3 linked regions of the Schizosaccharomyces pombe genome follow. Changing the gene in region 1 together with any one later gene gives a genetic interaction. Each region holds a gene or a part of one and is shown on either strand. Other genes may lie near its edges.

Region 1 (6,131 bases):
TATTTTATCCAATGCATCATCACGGTCTTCCACTGATAATGTCTGTAAAATGTTAAAAGCGTTTTTCGCTTCCTTTACATTCTCTTCAAGAGACATGCTAAACAATACTTATACAACTTTGAGTAGAGGCAATTGGGAGATTTAAATCAAGCGAATTCTTATTCTTAGAATGGCTAGCTCAAAAAGACTACTTTTTGTAGTATTTTGGTTGTTTTTTCTAATGTATGAATAATGCAAGTTCGTGATTTATTTAACACCCTTCAAGTAACAAAATCAAGCATTGTTACTTTACATTAAGCATAACTAAGATTTCTGAAAGATACGAAATCATGGAAAGTGAGAGTACTTCTGCAGTTAACTAAAAATATTTTGCAACCTCAAGAACAGTTAGTGTTATATTTTCAGTTTTTGTTTTTCCGTTACTATATATAGTAGCCTTACTTTTCACTTTTCACGTAGTGCAAGAATTATGCTTGTAAACAAAAGACTAAAAAATGAGCAACTGGGTATCTTCGGTTAAGAAATACAAAGATACTAATTTTAAAGTGTGCTTTGTATATTCCATAGAGAATTTGGATTATTACACACTTCGTATTTCTCATGAATAAATTATAGTCATATCGTAAAAGCAAAAACATTTATTAGCATGGTGTCCAGTTATTACTGAATCAATTTGATCTAGTTGTTTTTAATTCAAATTAAAGATGCTTCTAGTTGAAATGCACAGCTCAACAAACAAAATTGTTTGTTCATCTTTTCGGGAAAACATCCTTCAATATAGAGTATCGCTAACGGTTGTAATTGAATTGTTTACAATGGCTGATCAAACTGTTCATTAATATAGTACTTTTTTTTTAATTTGAACGCAATTACTTTGAATTTAATTCCATATTTGCAAAGTTCATCTTGCCTTACAGTTTCACAATTGTCCCCCAAGTCGACAATTTATAGAATCAGAAAGAAATACTTTGCTTCAAAAAAAATCGATAAATTATTAATCTGGGTGTATAGTATTTCATTTGTTTACTTTCAATAACAACATATTTAAGGCTCTGTAGCTATGCTTGATTGTACAGCAGTGAATCACATCAAGGTTTTTCCATACACTAACAGAAAATTCTTGACTACCTCTCCAAAGTCAAGTTGTACAAATCATGAGCATAAATCGCACACATTCTACTCATCAATCCCATTGCCAAGAGTTAAAGTATTTTGAGGATATGCGTTATTAAGTGTATCGTGTAAGCTACGCAGTTTGGTATCTGATTTAAGGATACGAAGAACTGCGGTGAGTTTTCCTTGTGGTCTATTATATTACAATACACAGGTTGTATAAGTAGCAACTGAGTATAGGTATTGTATTAACTGGGCTATAATGTTACCTATCACTAATATAGCTCATAACTGAACTGAGGAACGAGGTTCAGTTGTAACGCTATTTATAATATTTCTAAATAGTTGTTATCAACGGGTATCTATGTATATAGACGGATAGTTACCCGTGATTATCAATAAACGGATCTTAGCTAGTATTCCAACATATGACATATAGTGATACGCAACGTAGTGTATCATAGCGTAGTGTAGTATTGCTGACATATCGTAATGTACCCAATTACGGTAGAATGATTAAGAGAATTGTATTTAGGAATATACCGCCTTTAGTATTATGCGAAACGCTATTTTTTGTAATGAGCCATTTCTTTCGCGCACTAGCAAAATAGTCTCATATTGCTACTTCACGAATAGCAAAAATAAGTCATATAAAATAAGTAGCTCAAGGTAATTACTGTTTTCGGCATAATACTTTATACATCTTGGCAAATTTCTTATATAAACAGCGTCCCCCTCAGAGAACTTTTTCTGTTTTCTACCAAAATAATATGTAGGTAGATCGATGGATAGAAGCGATTAACGTATTTGCAAAACAGATCATCAGGATTTTTTTTAACTCCAAAATAACCATAGTGTCACTCGCTTCCTAGTACAAAGCATTACTATGGTTATGTTATTTTATTTTTTAAAAGCTCAATGATATTATCAGCAGTTGTACTTGCGATTCTTTCTCAAAAATGCATACTGAGAGGTTTGTTCATTATGGGAAAATTATGAGTTCACGAATATTTCTTTCTAGAGCGAATTTTATTATCCTCCTCACGTCGATTGAAGCTTCATAACAATTTGACTGTTACAAGCGATTGCTCCTAACAACTTCCGTGAACGAACGGGCTTTGCAAGTCTACCGACCGGCCTTAGGCTCTTCACACCTAGACTCAAAACGCTAATCTATATACATGTAGGACTTTTATTCTGCGAACTCTAGTGGGATTTACTGAACCAAATGGGGGTTTGATATTTTAGCTAGTCTATGCATTTGAATCTCTATGCAATGTTTGTCTACTCAAGTTTCCCTTTCTTTGAAGATCTTTACCCCCATTAGCGACCTTACTTCAACGTGGTCATTCTTACCTTACGCTAAATGTTTTAACGTCTACGAAAACGAGAACGACGATTGCTATTACCGCAACTTTAGATATCGTTATTTATTCTTCGAGTGGCGCGTTATCATCTTTAGCGGAATTTCAATTCCGCGAAGGAGCACGTAATATGATTACGAATACTGGTGGAGTAAGCCAACGCCAAGCTGAGGTGATGCTCGGCGTAGCTTATTGGCCTATTTTGGAGGCTCGAAGGCACGGACTAGACAATGCTTTGTAAAGCAAATTTGTTAAATCGATAAGTATAAAGACAATTTCTTCGTTTTTAGAATATAAAAAAACATTGGTCATATCGAAAAATTGATTTGAGTTGATATCGTTAAAATTTCATGTATATTCCGCGTGGAGCTATTTACTATATAAGCGATGACACGCCGCCCTATCCTCTTCCAATTCCAAACAAAATTTTCGAAATCTCCAACTTTGAAGTGTGGTTAAAATCTTATTGATTTTCCTTCAAAACACTTAATTACTCAAAACACCCCTTCTCTTGTTGTATTTTTTTAAAGTAAATTATCGTCATACAAAATGGTTAGAGCTGTAGCAGTTCTTCGTGGTGACTCTAAGGTCAGTGGTGTCGTTACTTTTGAACAAGTCGATCAAAACTCTCAAGTTTCTGTGATTGTGGATCTCGTTGGCAATGACGCTAATGCCAAGCGTGGTTTCCATATTCACCAATTCGGTGATAATACCAACGGTTGTACCTCTGCTGGTCCTCACTTTAACCCAGAGGGTAAGACTCACGGTGACCGTACCGCCGCTGTTCGTCACGTTGGTGATCTTGGTAACTTGGAAAGCGATGCTCAGGGCAACATCAAGACTACTTTCTCTGATTCTGTTATCTCATTGTTTGGTGCCAACAGCATCATTGGCCGTACCATTGTCATTCATGCCGGTGAGGATGATCTTGGTAAGGGTACTAGTGAAGAGTCTTTGAAGACTGGTAACGCTGGTGCACGTAACGCTTGTGGTGTCATTGGTATTGCCGTCTAAATTTATTGAGTTTTTACGTCTTTTTGTTCAAATGGCTGTGGGTTTAGGTGTTGGTTAGTATTGTTATCATTTAGTTGAGTGATCTCAAATTTCTTTTTTTTTATGAAAAGTTCCGTATATTATGCTTCTATAGGTTCTGTATTAAAAAACTTAATTTAATTGATGATGATAAGTACTGTAGCTTTGTGGAAGCTGTTTGTTACTATTATGTTATATGTGTAAAAAAATGTAGTGATGTATTTTTGTCCTTAAGACTCTGCGTTCGAGTTTACATAAAATTCAGTTAATTAGAAGGAATTGTTGTAACTTTGTTTCGGTATTGATAATGAAGAAGCAAAAGCAGCAACAATTTTTGATCTTTTAGTCAGAAAACTTTGTTTTGCATCGTTGAGTTCGTGCATAAAGATGATAGAAAGTGCTTTTCGTATTGTTTAAAAAAAGATATATAGAATGTTGATTAATAGATACACACATAGTAGCAATATCAACACATCTTGTTAAAATTCTAATGGGTGAAGCCTTTTTTTTTATTAATCATAATACCATCGTTTCATCTTTGTTGATTTTGTTATTACTTTTACGTATCAATGAATTTTTACGAACTAATTTCAACTAAACAATAACGACAGGCAAGTTTGTGTAAACTGAAAACATCTGCACAAGTTGTATTTTAAAATAAATTTTATTCTATAAGTCTAAAGGTTCACATCCAGTGTGAACAATTAATAAAATAAGTGGTTAAATAATAACCAACTAATTCAAAAAGATGCAAAAAAGAAAAACTCAGCAAGAATAATTTTAATAAATTGATCTCTAAGCCGGCCTAGACGATATCCAAAAAGGGTTTCAAGTTGAGAGTAGTTCACGTTCCAGACGTGTATTATGAACAAAATGTAGTTTTTTAAATAGTTTGAAAACATACAAGCAATAAGTATAGTACATCTGAAGAAATCCAAAAAAGCACCTCGCAATACAATTCCGGACTTTGGTCATGCTTAAGCAGCAACAAGTGCACCATTGGAGCAACCGTATATAGAGGAGTCATAGCACGCATTACCACAAGCTAACAATGGAGACCCATTTATAATGGGACACAGTATATTGCCATAACAAATATAACTTTGTGAATCATACCAAGCTGATCCACATTGGGCTATCACATTAGTGGATGTAGCAGATGTAGTAGTAGGTGTAGGTGTAGTAGTTGTGGTAGGTGTAGGTGTGAAAGTTGTAGTAGCTTTTGTTGTTGTAACAGTGTTTGGAGACAAAGAACCATCAGAACAAACATATTGGGAAGGATTATAGCATGCACCATTACAACTCAAGTAATCCACTCCGTCTATTATAGGACATAACTGATCATTGTCACAATAATAAGAGGATGCGTCGTAGTAGTTAGAGCCACATAGTTGCATGCCAGTTGACTGTGCGGTAGTAGTTGTTGAAGTTGTAGTAGGTGTGGGTGTTATTGAGGAAGTAGTTGTGGGAGTAGGCGTAATGGAGGAAGTGGTCGATGAAGATTGAACAGGGCCCAAAGCTCCATTGTCGCAGCCATATTGCGAAGGGTTATAGCAAGCTCCGTTGCAGTTTTGATATGATACACCATTAACAATAGGGCAGAGTACAGTTCCGTCGCATACATACAAACTTGCATCAAACGTAGCACCATTACAAGTACCAGAGATGCTTGTAGTAGTAGGAGTCGAAGTATAGGATATAGGTAGTGTACAACTGGCAGTTGCAGTAGTAGAGGTTGTCGTAACACTTCCGGTACTCGTAGAGGTCGTGGTGGTAGAAGAAGAGCTAACAGGATAATAAACGGCATCATTAGCCCATAAGCCAGCGGCATAAGCCAAATACCAGGCACGAGAGGCCCCGTCATCTAAGTAATCGGTATTAAAATCAGAACTGGAGAAATATTCATAACTTTCTTCAGGTTCAGCAATAGCTAGATTAGCATATAAAAGACTTCTCCAACCGCTATCTACATAGTCAATGACACTAGCAAGTAAGGCATTCCATTCAGCTAGTACAAAGCTAGGACCACGGATAAAAGCTGAAATTGGAGTGATAGGCAACATATGAATTCCTTGGATGTACTCAATATTAGTACCAAAATAGGTAGTGTGAGTAATTTTGTTCATGAATGTAATACCGGCAACATAATTAGGTTGCATAGAAGTGGGCTGGACGTTTCCATCAGCATACAGCATGTACTTATTCAAAGCATTTCTTTCAATGCCCAAAATAATGTTTGCGCGATCCTCCATATCAGAATCGCCAATTACTTGACCCCAAAGTTTCATACCGAAAAAGAAGTTATAATCTTCGGACGTTGATTCTTCATCCTTGCCATCATTAGACTCAAACAAACCAGATGCCCAACCATGACCATGATAAATATCAATCATTCGGTGCTTTGGAAAGTAAGGATCATTTGATGATGGATTGGCAACATCACGAACTAGAAAGTTAACCCATTCCTTATTGTTCCCAGTGTTAATCCAGTCAGGATCAATATGACCAATTACAGCAGCAGTGAAAACAAAATAACCATAATGGAAATGGTGATCATTATAGTAGCTGTTACCAAAATCAGCCAAGGAATCACCAGATAGACCAGCTACACTGACAACTCCT
Region 2 (7,162 bases), on another chromosome or scaffold:
CTCAAAAACTTACAATAAACAATAATCACTGTCATCACGTATGTAAATATTAACACTATAGTTTCAATAACATATTTAACCACAGAATTAAGATCCGCCAATGCCTGATCGAAATAATTATAAAAATTATGATAAAGCAATAAAGTAAGAATGAAAGGAAGGAAGATATGAAATATCGCATATCTAGCTTGTGTAAGTCGCACATTTTCCGAACGCTTTCTTAATCTAGCAGGTGCAGCCATTGTATTTTTTTTTCGTAACGATGGTTGTGTTAATGTTGAGTTTTGTTTGACAATTGGATTGTTTACATGATTATTGACTGAATATGAAGGACAAGAATGTAAACAACCCTTCTCCAAATCATTCCAAACTTCATTGTATTGAGGTAACTTTTCGTCTGGCATTTTGAAGAGCCTTTTACCAATAGTGATTATATACGTTTGAGTTCCAACTTGAACATTGCAAAATAAAATGCGAAATTAAAATATAAAATAGATAAATAGATCAAAACCAAACACTTGAATAGCCTAAAAATCCACGCGTTCTAAGCATCCAACAAAAAGAGATGGCTCTTGTTAAGGAATGAAATTGAATCATTGTGCTGTCAATATCAATTTACGCACAAGTTAGCATTAATTAGGCACTGCGTACCAATACGCTATAATAGCGATGCCTTGCTTCGTTTTATCATACTTTGAAAAGTATGCAACACTAGTTATTAGACAGTGGGCTACACTAAAGACCGCTATAATGTTTTTGCATCGCGAGTTACTATTATGTTACATGTTTTATTTACTCTACTAGTTTTGCATGAATAGTTTATCCAAGATATTAAATTACCAATTATAATAAGATATTTACCAGTAACAATAATACTGATTTTGAATACTATAACTTGAAAATTGAATTGAGGAGCGAGGTTCAGCCATGAGCTATATCAGCGTTAGGTTACAAACAATACCGACATCAATAACTCAGGTTACTATGTATTCATACATCTAGTAATACAACAGATCATCATTAGAGCTCACCGCAATCCTACTTATAATTGAAGCAGATATCAAACTGTACATTTAAACAATTGTATAATTCATTAAATCATACCTTATTGGCAATTTACAACGAGACTGTAGAACTCCACAACAGGTTTGGAGCGAGTTAGTTCTGTTGAACTGTATTTTATACTATTTCCTATTTGTTGGTCGAGCTCAATAGATTTTGGTAGGTTTACTATATCTTTTTAGGTATCAGTTGTAACTACCATTCAATACTTTGTAATTCAAAAATCATTATGTTTATTTTTATAGAAATTAATATGTGCCGCTGTTCAACATCACCATTTTCTTGTTTCAGATTTAAAGAATTAATTATCCTGTTCTCCACGGAAGCTCTGAGTTTTAAGTCTGCACGTACTCATTGCCGATATTTATTTCAACTCAATAGGTATCATTACGGTTTGGAGAACCTAAAAAATCTTAAATTATGAATTCCAACGTAAATATATGAGGAAAATAAAGATGTGCCATGCTTTACATATTTTGAGCGAATCGACCAGCTATAAACAGTACTCATCAACACATTAGTGGTGAGCATACCGTACATGGAAAAGCAAAACATCCTTTTTTAATAATACAATTTTTTCTTATTAACTAAAATCCTTACCCGATTAGGTGGGTGTTGTTCATCCATTATCTGTGCTACATTTAGAGAGAGACCTCTTTCCAAATCGATTACACTTTCATTTTCTATGTTTACACATCACTCATTTGTAAATAGACCTTCTAACTGGACAATAAAATTTTCTCAGTTTTTAAATTAAAGAAATGGAGAGTATTATACAATATTGCATGAATTGAAAACATTGAAGCGAAAGAGCGTGAACAAGGATTTCATCCTAACTCGTAAAGCAAATGTTCATTCTGCCTCGTTTGACATATCAGACGGAAGTCAAATCAAAGTGGATTTAAATTATAAAATAACTTGAAGTTTCATTTTATCATGTTTGCAGATTTTATTTACATTTCATCTCCACATTCCAATTGTATGCACATATGCAATACCCACTGTTACTGGTTCCTTTCTTAACGAAAATTATCGCCGCATACTAAAAAATATTTAATTTGTTTATTGTGACTGTAAATTAATTTGTGTTTTTAGATCTTTTATCGGGTTTCTTCAGGACGGGCTTGATGACACTTCGATTGTTTACAGAATATATCTATAGTTAAATTATTTAAACAACATTAGCAAGTCCAACCTATAATAAGGAAAATAAGCTCACTCTGGAAGTTCTACTGGTTTGGCCGATAATGTTTTTAGCAACATGTAACAGCGTTTACTATTGAATTTGTTTAAATTTCTTAAATACCATTTTGATCATAGCAATTCTGTTCGGTTGCTTATAATATTGCTCTAAATTATTTTTTATTTCACTTACTTCTTCTGCGTTTTATTTCTTGCTGACTGTAAATATGGTTAAATTGTTTTCAAAAACAAAGTATCAAATTTTTTTTTGTGCTTCTTCAGCGGACAAATGAATAGTAAAAACTGAAAGCGTGCTTTTTTGTTGGTAATAATGTTTGATTTACTCTTTTTTTTTTTTTTTTTTTTTTTTTTTTTTTGGCTCAGACCTTCTTGCTCATAATGATCTGGGCCATAGTACATCAATTTTCGAAGACAGTAATAAAGCAATTAAAAAAAAAAATTTTCGCCATTGATTCAAACTCACATCAGTTATCAATTAAAAAATTTCTTTACAGTTAATTTCTGCTATATTATTTTATTGAACCTTTTTAAATTCATTCAACCATTACGGAAGACACTAAATTTCCTTAAAGAATGAGTTCTGAGCTAAAGGATCAGTGGCCAGCTTTAAGAATAAGATATATTACGGCAAAGTTTCAGAATTATCTAAATATAATTTAATATAAATACATTTAACGATTATATTATGTATAGTATTATAATCCAATTAATTAATGGTAGCATATAATGACACGCAAAAGGGCTTAGTGAAGTCTTGCTGCTGACAATAAAGTGCATATAATGTTAGCTTCGCAGTTTGGTATCTGATTTAAGGATACATAGAACTGCGGTGAGTTTTCCTTGTGATCTATTATATTACAATACACAGGTTGTATGAGTAGCAACTGAGTATAGGTATTGTATTAACTAGGTTATAATGTTACCTATCACTAATATATCTTATAACTGAACTGAGGGACGAGGTTCAGTTGTTCTCAATTTATAATATTTGAAGTAGTAAGAATTATATCTGATAGTTATCTTATCATGAATGATATTATATCTCCATCTTGATGACTTATCATGTAATAGTTGATAGAGCAAATAGAACATTGTGAACATGTGACATATAGTGATATGCAACGTGGAGTATCATTGCGTAGTGTAGTATTGCTGACAATAACGAACTAAACCAGTATATTGTTATCCTACGCTAGCACCAGACTCAGCTGAGTTTACCAAGTAGGGCGATGCGATGAAGCAAAAGCATTCATTGCTTTAACCATGATAGAATGTCGCTTGAATTACCAGGAAACTACCGACTTTCCAGGCTTAAATCAATACAAATAAGAAATGTTCAAGAAATTCAAAATCATAGCAAATTTGCGATCAATACGACGGAAAATTTGTGGAAACGAGATGTGCAGTTAAAACGTGCAATTTCCGAAGGAACTATTCGTATTTTTATATCATTGCATGTGCAGAGTAAGAAATTGCCTGTTTATATTACTGAAACGAGCGGAAATGCTGTATGTGAACATGCTTTGATAAACAAAAGTATCTGAATGGTATCATTATATCTAGGTTATTTGCTTGATTGAAAAGGTTAATCAGTTTGTTTATACAAGTGATTTGCCAAAATTTCGTTGCTCAAATCCTTGAAACAAAGCCCTCAATTGATAGTTTATACCTTGTATCTCTTTTACCCATATACAAATTTTGTATGTATTTATGTTCTTTGTGTCTAACCTCTCATTAGAATCACATCTTTTACGTCGATGAAAAAGTAACCGAAAAGCTTCAAAAATACCGTCACGAAGAGTACTTTATCGTGAGGACTTGGTGCTCATCAAGTAGTCATGCCTTCAAGCTACATAAAGAATGGAAAATTTTGAGATATGACAGTAATTTTCGTTATATTGGTAATGATGTACGGTTGAATATTTTTGGTTTACCTTATGTTTCCCTTGTGTTGACTAACATATTATTTGTAGCCTGTTTTTGCAGTTTGTCATATTCGAAACGGTCTTTTATGTGAATTTAATGATGGCGTTTACATCTACACAACATCCCAGTCTTCGGATATTATGAGACAGACCTCCTTTCCAAAAAGTGCCTCCACATATTCTATAGACAGGCGGAAGGATGGTTACACTATTCAGAAAATCACTCGAATTTTGAAACTGGCTGAATGCATAGATGAAATGCACATTGCTAAACATGAAATTCGAGCTCATTTTCAGGAGGAGGAGTTTCAGCAGATACGTTTGATGCACAAAAGGATGTTACTTCGGGATGAAAAAATCGATGAACTGGCTAAATTAGAACATCTTTGGCAAAAACAAATTAATAGCATCACTCAGATGAGGACGAAATTTGACAAGACGAAAAGCTGGTTATCCTCAAAAAGGAACACTTTGAACAAATCCAAAGAATCCCTTCAAAAAGATGAAGCTGAGTATGTGGAACTTGCCAATTCTTTAAAAACAAAAGTAGAGACCAATATAGAGATTCGAATCCTTATGGCACATGCTATTCGTATGCACGTTTCCCATCTTTCCAAAATTTACCCAATCCAACCATCGCCTGGCAATCATGACGAGTTTACAATTCGCAATCTCCGCCTATCTTTTGAGCCAGATAAAATTAATAATGTGGAAATGGCTGCTTCCATAGGATTTTTGGCGCATTTACTTCAAACTCTTTCAAAGTATCTCGAAAAAGAACTCGCTTATCCAATTCTTTGCGCATCTTCGAGATCCTCCATCCTGGATACATTGACACCCGACATCCCCACGCGTATCTTTCCCCTTTATCCAGCAACTCGACCAATTGAGCTTTTTGAACATGCCATTTATCTTCTCAACCAGGATGTAAATGATTTTTTAGAAACTTTTGGATTACCTATTGACCAATCCATGGACATACTCAGGAACTTTAAAAAACTGCTCCAATTTATTTTATCAGGACAACATCTATCTTTTGTACAAGTAACGTCTACCGCTCCTTAACAATTCCATAAGCTTAGGCACCATAAGCCTAAATTATCGTTAATTGCAAAACTACGCATAACTTGTCTATCGTTTAATTGTATCTTTTCACCCTAGTTTACTCTCAACAATCAATTTCGTTTTCGTATTCTTTGTTGGAAATTCATATACCCATTTCACGGTTTAATTTTAATCATCTTAATGAAGAGTTTTTATGGACATTTGCCGAAGGCATATTACTCATTGTCATTGCGACAACTACTATACAATGCATTTACGTTTAAAATATAAAAATAAACAGATAATGATGAATGTAGATATTATAAATAGTTCCCTTAAATTAATAAAACTTGTGAATTAAAAAATAAAAAGAGCCATGTTCATTTTTTGATAGTTATGTGATGGTGATCGAGCTCTTCCGGTTACATCCGACCCACATATTCTAGGTATAGGCAGGCGGAGCGGGTCCTACACTTTCAAAAACTGGCGGGCATTCTTCATCCCAACTAATACCTAAACCAGCTGGCGTGGTAAGTGGCTGAACGACTGATACTCGTAAGATACGGGCATTGCCCATATTGTTTCCCGCAACGTTCTTTTTTCTATTAACAATGGTCTCAAAAATTAAATGATGAGAGACTTTTAAGGAAAAAGGGGCAGGAATTTCCACGTCACAGCTTGGCTCTCTTAAAGAAGATGTGTTAATTTGAGTAGATAGAAACATCTGATTATCAATGAACTTCCATCCCGATTGTAAATCTTGTGTACTCAAAATTCTTTTTTCTTCAATAGGTCGAGGTTTTACCAAATCACGATGGCGTTCACATGGTTGACAACTAAACTGCATATGCTCCTCCAATCTCCAAGTAACTCTATTGATCTTCCAATCGTTGCCGTCATTTTGGGCAAAACCAGTCATGGTAACTTCCATAAGCGCAGCTCCATGAGGATGCAAGGTACTGGGCAAAGTAATGTTTGCAACAAGATTCGTAGGGGGAAAGATACGTTTATGGATGGTATCAGGCGAAGGAATGGCAGCTCGCTTTAGTTGGAGAGGAAACTTAAGAACTTCGGGCTTCGAGGGAGAAATTCCGCCTTCAGGAGTACCATAGCATAACGTAGCTTCTAAATAATACTCAAGCTTGATGTATCTGTTAGAAACCGAAGCAGGAAGCGAACCAGGGAAAAGCCAACTAAAAGGCCAATGCTGAGTACCAGGTCTATATGTGGTATTTGCAGCTAAATCCCAAGTCTGTAAAACCTCTTTTGAACCCGCACAAGCAGAACAATGAGAGATTGCAGGATGAAGAACGGTGATCCTTTTTATGAGTTGCAGCTTGAGGGTATGTACTTTAATAAAAGGTTGATGTAAAATCGTCAGTTTTAAAATGCCAGACGCAAGTGCACCACTAGACGTTTCCGGCGAGCCAAGGAATACCAGCGGCGGTGATTCCATACGTATATCTAACGTACAGCGAGCAGGGTCTTTTGGCGTGGTTGAACGAGGTAGTGCAAGTTTTAATGGCATAGTAATAAGAAAATCTAAGCGTTTGTCGGTAAAACAAAGGAATGGAAAAAAAAATAGAAATGGAAAATTTTTTAAAAAAAATTACCAGTATGAAATGATAAACCAGGAATAAAATAATGTGTGTAAAAATGCCAAGTACACCTAAAAAAACCAAACCCTACAGTGGAAGAACACTGCTAAATTGAACTTAAAAAATGTGAAAAGGAAAAACCCACCAGGAAATTAAAGAGAAGAAAGAATTAACGAAGTATGGAAATAAGAAAAAAAGTCGTTAAACCAAACAACCAACGACTTTTTTCTTTCGCCTATTATCCAAATTTTTTTGAAGATGATTTATACCTATTCTTCTTCCGTAGAAAGTAATAGTAATCCAATTGATGAGAAAGAAGTAAACCGACTT
Region 3 (6,128 bases), on another chromosome or scaffold:
GATCAAGGGTTGACAGTAGGCCGACTTATTTTAAGGTCACCTCTAAAGATCTTGGTTTCGTAGACCAAGTATCCGAAGAATATGAATTTTATACCTATCCAAAGAAAGCATCAGAAGTCGAGTCGGTTACTGAAACATTTCAGAGTAATCGTTCAAGTCTTGTTCCAACTTATCCTGTAGACGAAAATGCCAACAAACTGCCCCCAAAGGTATCCATTGCGTTCATATTGATTAACAGCTTAATGTCCGATATGTCCTTGGCTGTGGCCTTACCCACGTCGGCCTCTTACACTCAAAGCCTTGGTGGTACAAATGCATTTTCAGGTTTGGTAATTGGGATTCCCACTTTAATTTCGTTAATATTTCTTTATCCCATGCTTTGCTTTGCAAACCCAAAGTCGGCTAACGGTTATACTCTGTACTTCCGACCAATGGTAGTATCTTCGTTTGCTCACATTTTTGGCCATTTACTTTATTGCATGGCATATCGTGCCAATTGGATCTATCTAATTCTAATCGGGCGAATGCTGAACGGTATTGGGTTCACTACCTTCTTATATCACAAAAAATATACAACAGATAAGTTGCTCGTCGGACAAAATCGTCGAACATTCTTGGCAACAATGAACATCTTAGCGCAGACCTTAGGATTCATGGCAGGTCCCTTCCTTGGAGGTATATTAGCAAAAGCGACAATTCATTCAAAGAACGCTGTTTGGAATCAGTACACAGTGGCATCATGGGTCATGTTGTTTATGTGGTTTTTTTATATGCTAACTATCATATTCTTCTTCAAAGAGGTAACGGCTGACAAAAGCGAAAAAGTTTCACAACAAAAAGAAAATGATGATGAGGACAGGCCAAAGTTGAGTTGGAAACATAAATTTTTGCTTTTCTTTTTAGCGGAAGTGGCATTTATAGCATACTTTACCGTGAACGGCTACCAAGCTAGTATTTCCATTTACACAGGAAAACTTTATAATTACGATGCTTTTCAATCAGGAAATTTTATAGCATTATCCGCATTAATCGTGGCACCTTTTATTCTAGCGAGTTCATTTTTGTCTCGATGGCTCGAAGACCGACACATCATGTTGGGAGGCCTATTCTTGGGAATTTTGGCAGTAGCCATTCATCTAGTATTAGATGCAGTTCACAAGCTACCCATGCAAGTTTATTTTTTCTTGTATTCGTTGATGATTTATGGCTATAGCATTGGATCTGCGCCTCTAATTTCCCTTTCGTCCAAACAGTTGCATCCAAGGCATCATAATACCGCCAGCATAGTCGTACAAGTAGGAGTGTCTTTGTCCAATACTTTTGGCTCCATTTGTGGTGGTGCGATTTATAATATAACCACAGTTGGTTTCATTTCGCTTTGCCTAGGATTAGCAGCAGTTGTATACATGCAATTAATCTTTATGTGGGGATCCTTGAAATGCAAAACACATTAAGCAAAGATCCTAGCCATGATTATAAATGCTGGTGAGCGATCGACAATTTTTATTTAGAAAAGCTAATTTTTTTTTTTTTTGGAAATCGGCTTAATAACCTATGAAACCTTGAAACTTTAATGAATACCAAGAAGCTATTTTTGATTTTTAATTCTCCCTATTTGTTTGTTATTTGGTATTGAACAAATATTCAAATGAGATTCCATCGGAATGTATTTGACATATGATTTTTATCCATTTAATGTTGGGCTTTCCAATCCCATAGGACTAATATCTAGAAAAATACAATTTAAAAAATCTATGTAAAACAAATTTATGCAAAAAAATTGAAATATTAAAAAAACCAGTCTTTTTATGCTTAATATGATTCAATGAGTTTAATCTTTAAAAAATCTAAATTAATAAAAAATTCATTTTCATATTTCACTACAATTCTTATCGTATGTATTTTTTTACTAGGTAATAGTTTATATTATTATCATTATTATTATTATTTTTTTTTTATTAATGATTAAACGTACAAAACCTTTGAATTTTCCGTTAATCGTTCTTTGGAAAAAGAAAATGAGATTCTAAACATCTAACTCCGTTACTTGCATCATGAGAAAGGGAGAAGAACAAAATGTTAGCTACAATGAAAAAGGATTACTTTCGAAAATTCACTATTCCACATCCGTTTTCCCAAATCCATCCTTTGCTACTGATATACTTCATTATTATTGCACTGATGTATTTGTATATAATAACTCTTAGGAAACCCAAATTCATCCTACCTTCTAGTTCGGTAAATCGTATAAACATAGACACTTAGCTTACCATTAATGTCTTTTGTGATGTAATAGTCCTTGTTAAAACTTATAGCGATGCAGTACGTACGATATTTTGCATCTTTACTGTACCTTAAATAATTGCTGAATAGACACGTGGAATGTGTTTGTATACGTACTTATCAATTACCAGTCAGATGGTAGAAGCGGTAAAATCGTGATATTTGAGTATTAGCTATAAAATAAATTTTTCACAACGTTTCAATATATTTTAATACTCTTTTTAAAATTTTTTAGAGAGATTTTGACGAGCAATTGATGCGTGAGACGCGTTTGTCAATTTTTCCACCTTTCTCGCTCTATTCATAGCACTGGCTAATTGTGTCGCAATACCACGGAAAATTGATTTGACGAACACAAGTGTGGTCTTTGTGTTAACATTTCTAATTCGTAAATGAATTCGAGGACTCAAAAATTTGCGGTTCGTTATACCACGTCGGGGTTTGCGCCATTTATCTGTTCATAGATACCGCAAAGCAAATCGTGAGCAATAAATTTTGAAAAGGTATCTACAGTTCCGAGAGGTGCAGGAAGTGATGAATCGAATTTGATGAAAATTTCTCACCTATTTTAGAGGGGAAACTACAGTGACTTTCTTGAAAGCAATTAAACAACCTTGAAAATGAATCAAACTTTTTTCTTAACGTTACTGCTGATATTGATGTGAAAATTAAACAAGAAAAACATCATCACTTCGTTAAAACCTTAAAAATTCAAAATTTCAAAGGAATAATTAACACCCGGGCATGCATACTACCCGATAACGTAATCTTCTCTATTGCCATTTTCTTTTTCTTTTTAATAAAAATGGCTGTCTAGTAAACACTTTGTCTCAGCGTTTCTTGCCTTTTTACAACAGTCAAATACCGAATATCGCACGAACCATTGAAAACGCAGCTGTGCGCGGTCTCAGTGCCGGTTGGGATTTTCCACCACTCGCAGCCCACAAAGCTCTTCATACAAAGATGAAGAACAGTAAAGAAAAAAAATCTTCCATCCCGACAAATTTGGTGATTTGACGTCACCAAAAGATTCGTTTTTGTAGAAAGGTATATATATTAACGACATGTGCCCATTTGTCTTGATAATACTATCTTTAAACTTGAACGACATTTTTTGAATACGCCGTTACTCCTAAAGATTTTATACCACTTGCTTTAACTTTTACACAAATTTATTACTACTATTAAAAATGGTTGCTGTCGGATCTACTTTGCCTAAAGTTACTCTTTGGGAAAACAAGCCCGAAGAGGTTGTTGAATTCCCTTCTCAAGGCAAATTCATCATTGTCGGTGTTCCCGGCGCTTTCACTCCTCCTTGTTCTTCTCAAGTTCCTGGCTATATTGCAAATGAGAAGCAATTTGCTGCCAAGGGCATCAGCGGAATCTATGTCGTTGCCGTAAATGACGTTTTCGTCACCAAGGCTTGGAAGAAGTCTTTCGACGGTGGTGAGCAAAGTGGTGTTCACTTTGTCGCCGACTGGAACGGAGAGTTTACCAAGGCCTTTGATGCTGGCTTCGACGCTAGCGGTCTTTTGGGCCCTCTTCGCTCCAAGCGTTATGCCGCTGTTGTCGAGAATGGCAAGGTTGTCAAGGTTTTCATTGAGAACGAGGTCACCGATGTTGATATTTCCTCCGCTGACAAGGTCCTTAGCTCTCTTTAAATCTGATGAACTGTTGTACTAATTGTTTTGATGGGAATGTTTTTTTCCTTTAATGAACGAAACTTAGAATCAAAAAGATAAGCTCCTTATTTAAGGGCGTTTGAAATGATGGAGATAAAGCACTCCATATTTGAGTTTTTTTTGTCATTGTGATGATATATGTTTAGATTTATGAAATTTTATACACAATTATCTTAACAACTCATTGTTTGAGTACTAGTACAATTCTTTATAAGAAAGTAGATATGCTTAAAAAATTAATGTCAAGTAAAACGTTGAATCGATTACAATAAGTTTTCGTAACACGATTGAAAATCGGTAGAAGTTGAAATGGATATTCTAAGTGGTGGTATCAAAATAATGACTAGAAAGATGTAAGCACACCTTCAATGTATCATAATCAATGTCAGATGAATTTGGGTAATGAAAAACGTTGGCCACAGTTGGGGGCGTCTTCCTCTAGATGCTCGTCTTCTACAACCGTTCTTTACCTCAACCTTTAAATTTTCAAAATCTCCTTTTTAATAACAGTTTTCATTTTTGGGTTCTTTTTACTCATTTGTATTTCATCTTCGATGAAAATAGCTAATGTCTTAACTTTATCGTTTGCTGCAATTATTGCTGCTTCTTCCCTGGCGGTTGTAGTTAGTCCTATCACAGACAATTCCAGGGAGACAGCTTCATCCTCCATTTCTCAAAGTCCTCCTAGTCAATGGTCAAAAAAACAGTTAATTGAGTATTGTAAAAAAAATTCACTTAAAACTAGCGGATCTCATGAAGAATTGGTTATCCGTGTGCAAAATCATCTTCGTACCGCCTCTAAAAAAGTTGATGCCAGACCGTAATGACAAAACAGCTTGTATAGATTTTAATATGTTTTCGATGCTTACATAATGAGTGAGTGTCATTATTGAGGAATGCCATGTCAGATTTGACACAACTCAGAACTTATTAACTTTTTATGATTGGAACTTTTGTTTTGCCCAAGGAATTTTTAATGGAAGAAGTTGTTTTATAAATGATATTGAATTTATATCCACTCTTTTTAGCGCATTTGCATCTCTACTTTAGGTTCTTCTTTGACTAGATTCTAGGATGCGTATTGGATATACTGGTCTTTGAATCATTGTCGAAAAAAAAATTCATGGTTGTACCCATGAGCAAACTGCTTTTGTGGTTATCCATGTGCTTCTTTTGTTCAGCATCTATCTTCTTAATCGCATGGAAGATTTGATTTAAACCAAAAGAAATATTGTTAAACTTTGACAGAAGCTTTAAATTTTGATTCCATACATTAAATGGATAAAACTCCTGAAGCTTAGCTACAAATCCCACTGGCTATATGTATGCATTTGTGTTAAAAAAGTTTGTATAGATTATTTAATCTACTCAGCATTCTTTCTCTAAATAGGAATTTGTTACTTAATGGAGAAAAAAATGTTTCGATTTACCTAGTGTATTTGTTTGTATACTCACGTTTAATTTCAAACATCCATTCTATCTTGTGTAATTTTTGGCATGGTGAAAAAGATAATCAGCCTTATAATCTTTACAAAAGTAAGAAATTCTGTAAATAAGCCTTAATGCCCTTGCTTTAAATTAAAATGGTTCTTTTTCATGATAATGTTTGCACTTTGTGAATATATTTTAGATAGTTCTGTGAGGTATAATTAAGATGTTTTAGAGACTTATACAATTTTGTCTTTATAAATTCTTAATTGATTTTACCATCCCAGTTTAACTATGCTTCGTCGGCATCTCTGCACATGTCGTGTTTTCTTACCGTATTGTCCTACCAAGAACCTCTTTTTTGCTTGGATCGAAATTAAAGGTTTAAAAGCAAAGTTATGGATGCTAGAGTATTTCAAAGCTATTCAGCTAGAGCTGAGGGGATGAAAAATCCCATTGCCAAGGAATTGTTGGCTTTGATGGAAGAAAAGCAAAGCAACTTGTCAGTCGCGGTCGATTTGACGAAGAAATCCGAAATCTTAGAATTGGTAGATAAAATTGGACCCTATGTCTGTGTTATCAAGACACATATTGACGTTGTCGAGGATTTCGACCAGGATATGGTAGAAAAACTGGTGGCCTTAGGTAAAAAGCATCGTTTTCTTATCTTTGAGGATCGCAAATTCGCAGACATTGGAAATACCGTCAAGCTACAATATGCATCTGGTGTGTACA

What was found.
Region 2: mutations in sod1 (region 1) and vps38 together harm fitness less than expected from each alone (positive genetic interaction), as found in Schizosaccharomyces pombe (one large-scale study listed by BioGRID).
Region 3: mutations in sod1 (region 1) and pmp20 together harm fitness less than expected from each alone (positive genetic interaction), as found in Schizosaccharomyces pombe (one large-scale study listed by BioGRID).

Annotation. Positions count from the first base shown.
Region 1 is NC_003424.3:1,000,359-1,006,489, reverse strand, and holds sod1 (superoxide dismutase Sod1), read left to right. Parts: upstream 1-2,889; 5' UTR 2,890-3,026; coding exon 3,027-3,491; 3' UTR 3,492-3,652; downstream 3,653-6,131. Other genes in the region: gamma-glutamyl phosphate reductase Pro1, read right to left, coding at 1-96; cell septum surface endo-1,3-beta-glucanase Eng1, read right to left, coding at 4,487-6,131. UniProt on the Schizosaccharomyces pombe protein: Destroys radicals which are normally produced within the cells and which are toxic to biological systems.
Region 2 is NC_003423.3:1,802,726-1,809,887, forward strand, and holds vps38 (phophatidylinositol 3-kinase complex subunit Vps38), read left to right. Parts: upstream 1-3,505; 5' UTR 3,506-3,536; coding exon 3,537-3,773; intron 3,774-4,003; coding exon 4,004-4,174; intron 4,175-4,238; coding exon 4,239-5,255; 3' UTR 5,256-5,592; downstream 5,593-7,162. Other genes in the region: SPOM_SPBC18H10.18C (uncharacterized protein), read right to left, coding at 14-404; arrestin-related substrate adaptor Any1, read right to left, coding at 5,677-6,762. UniProt on the Schizosaccharomyces pombe protein: Involved in endosome-to-Golgi retrograde transport as part of the vps34 PI3-kinase complex II. Mediates the interaction between atg6 and the pik3-ppk19 core complex, leading to the recruitment of atg6 to the membrane.
Region 3 is NC_003421.2:116,239-122,366, reverse strand, and holds pmp20 (thioredoxin-related chaperone Pmp20), read left to right. Parts: upstream 1-3,367; 5' UTR 3,368-3,473; coding exon 3,474-3,944; 3' UTR 3,945-4,145; downstream 4,146-6,128. Other genes in the region: SPOM_SPCC330.07C (transporter), read left to right, coding at 1-1,454; protein new25, read left to right, coding at 4,520-4,789; orotidine 5'-phosphate decarboxylase Ura4, read left to right, coding at 5,792-6,128. UniProt on the Schizosaccharomyces pombe protein: May act as a chaperone rather than a peroxidase. Has no thioredoxin-dependent peroxidase activity. Shows weak chaperone activity.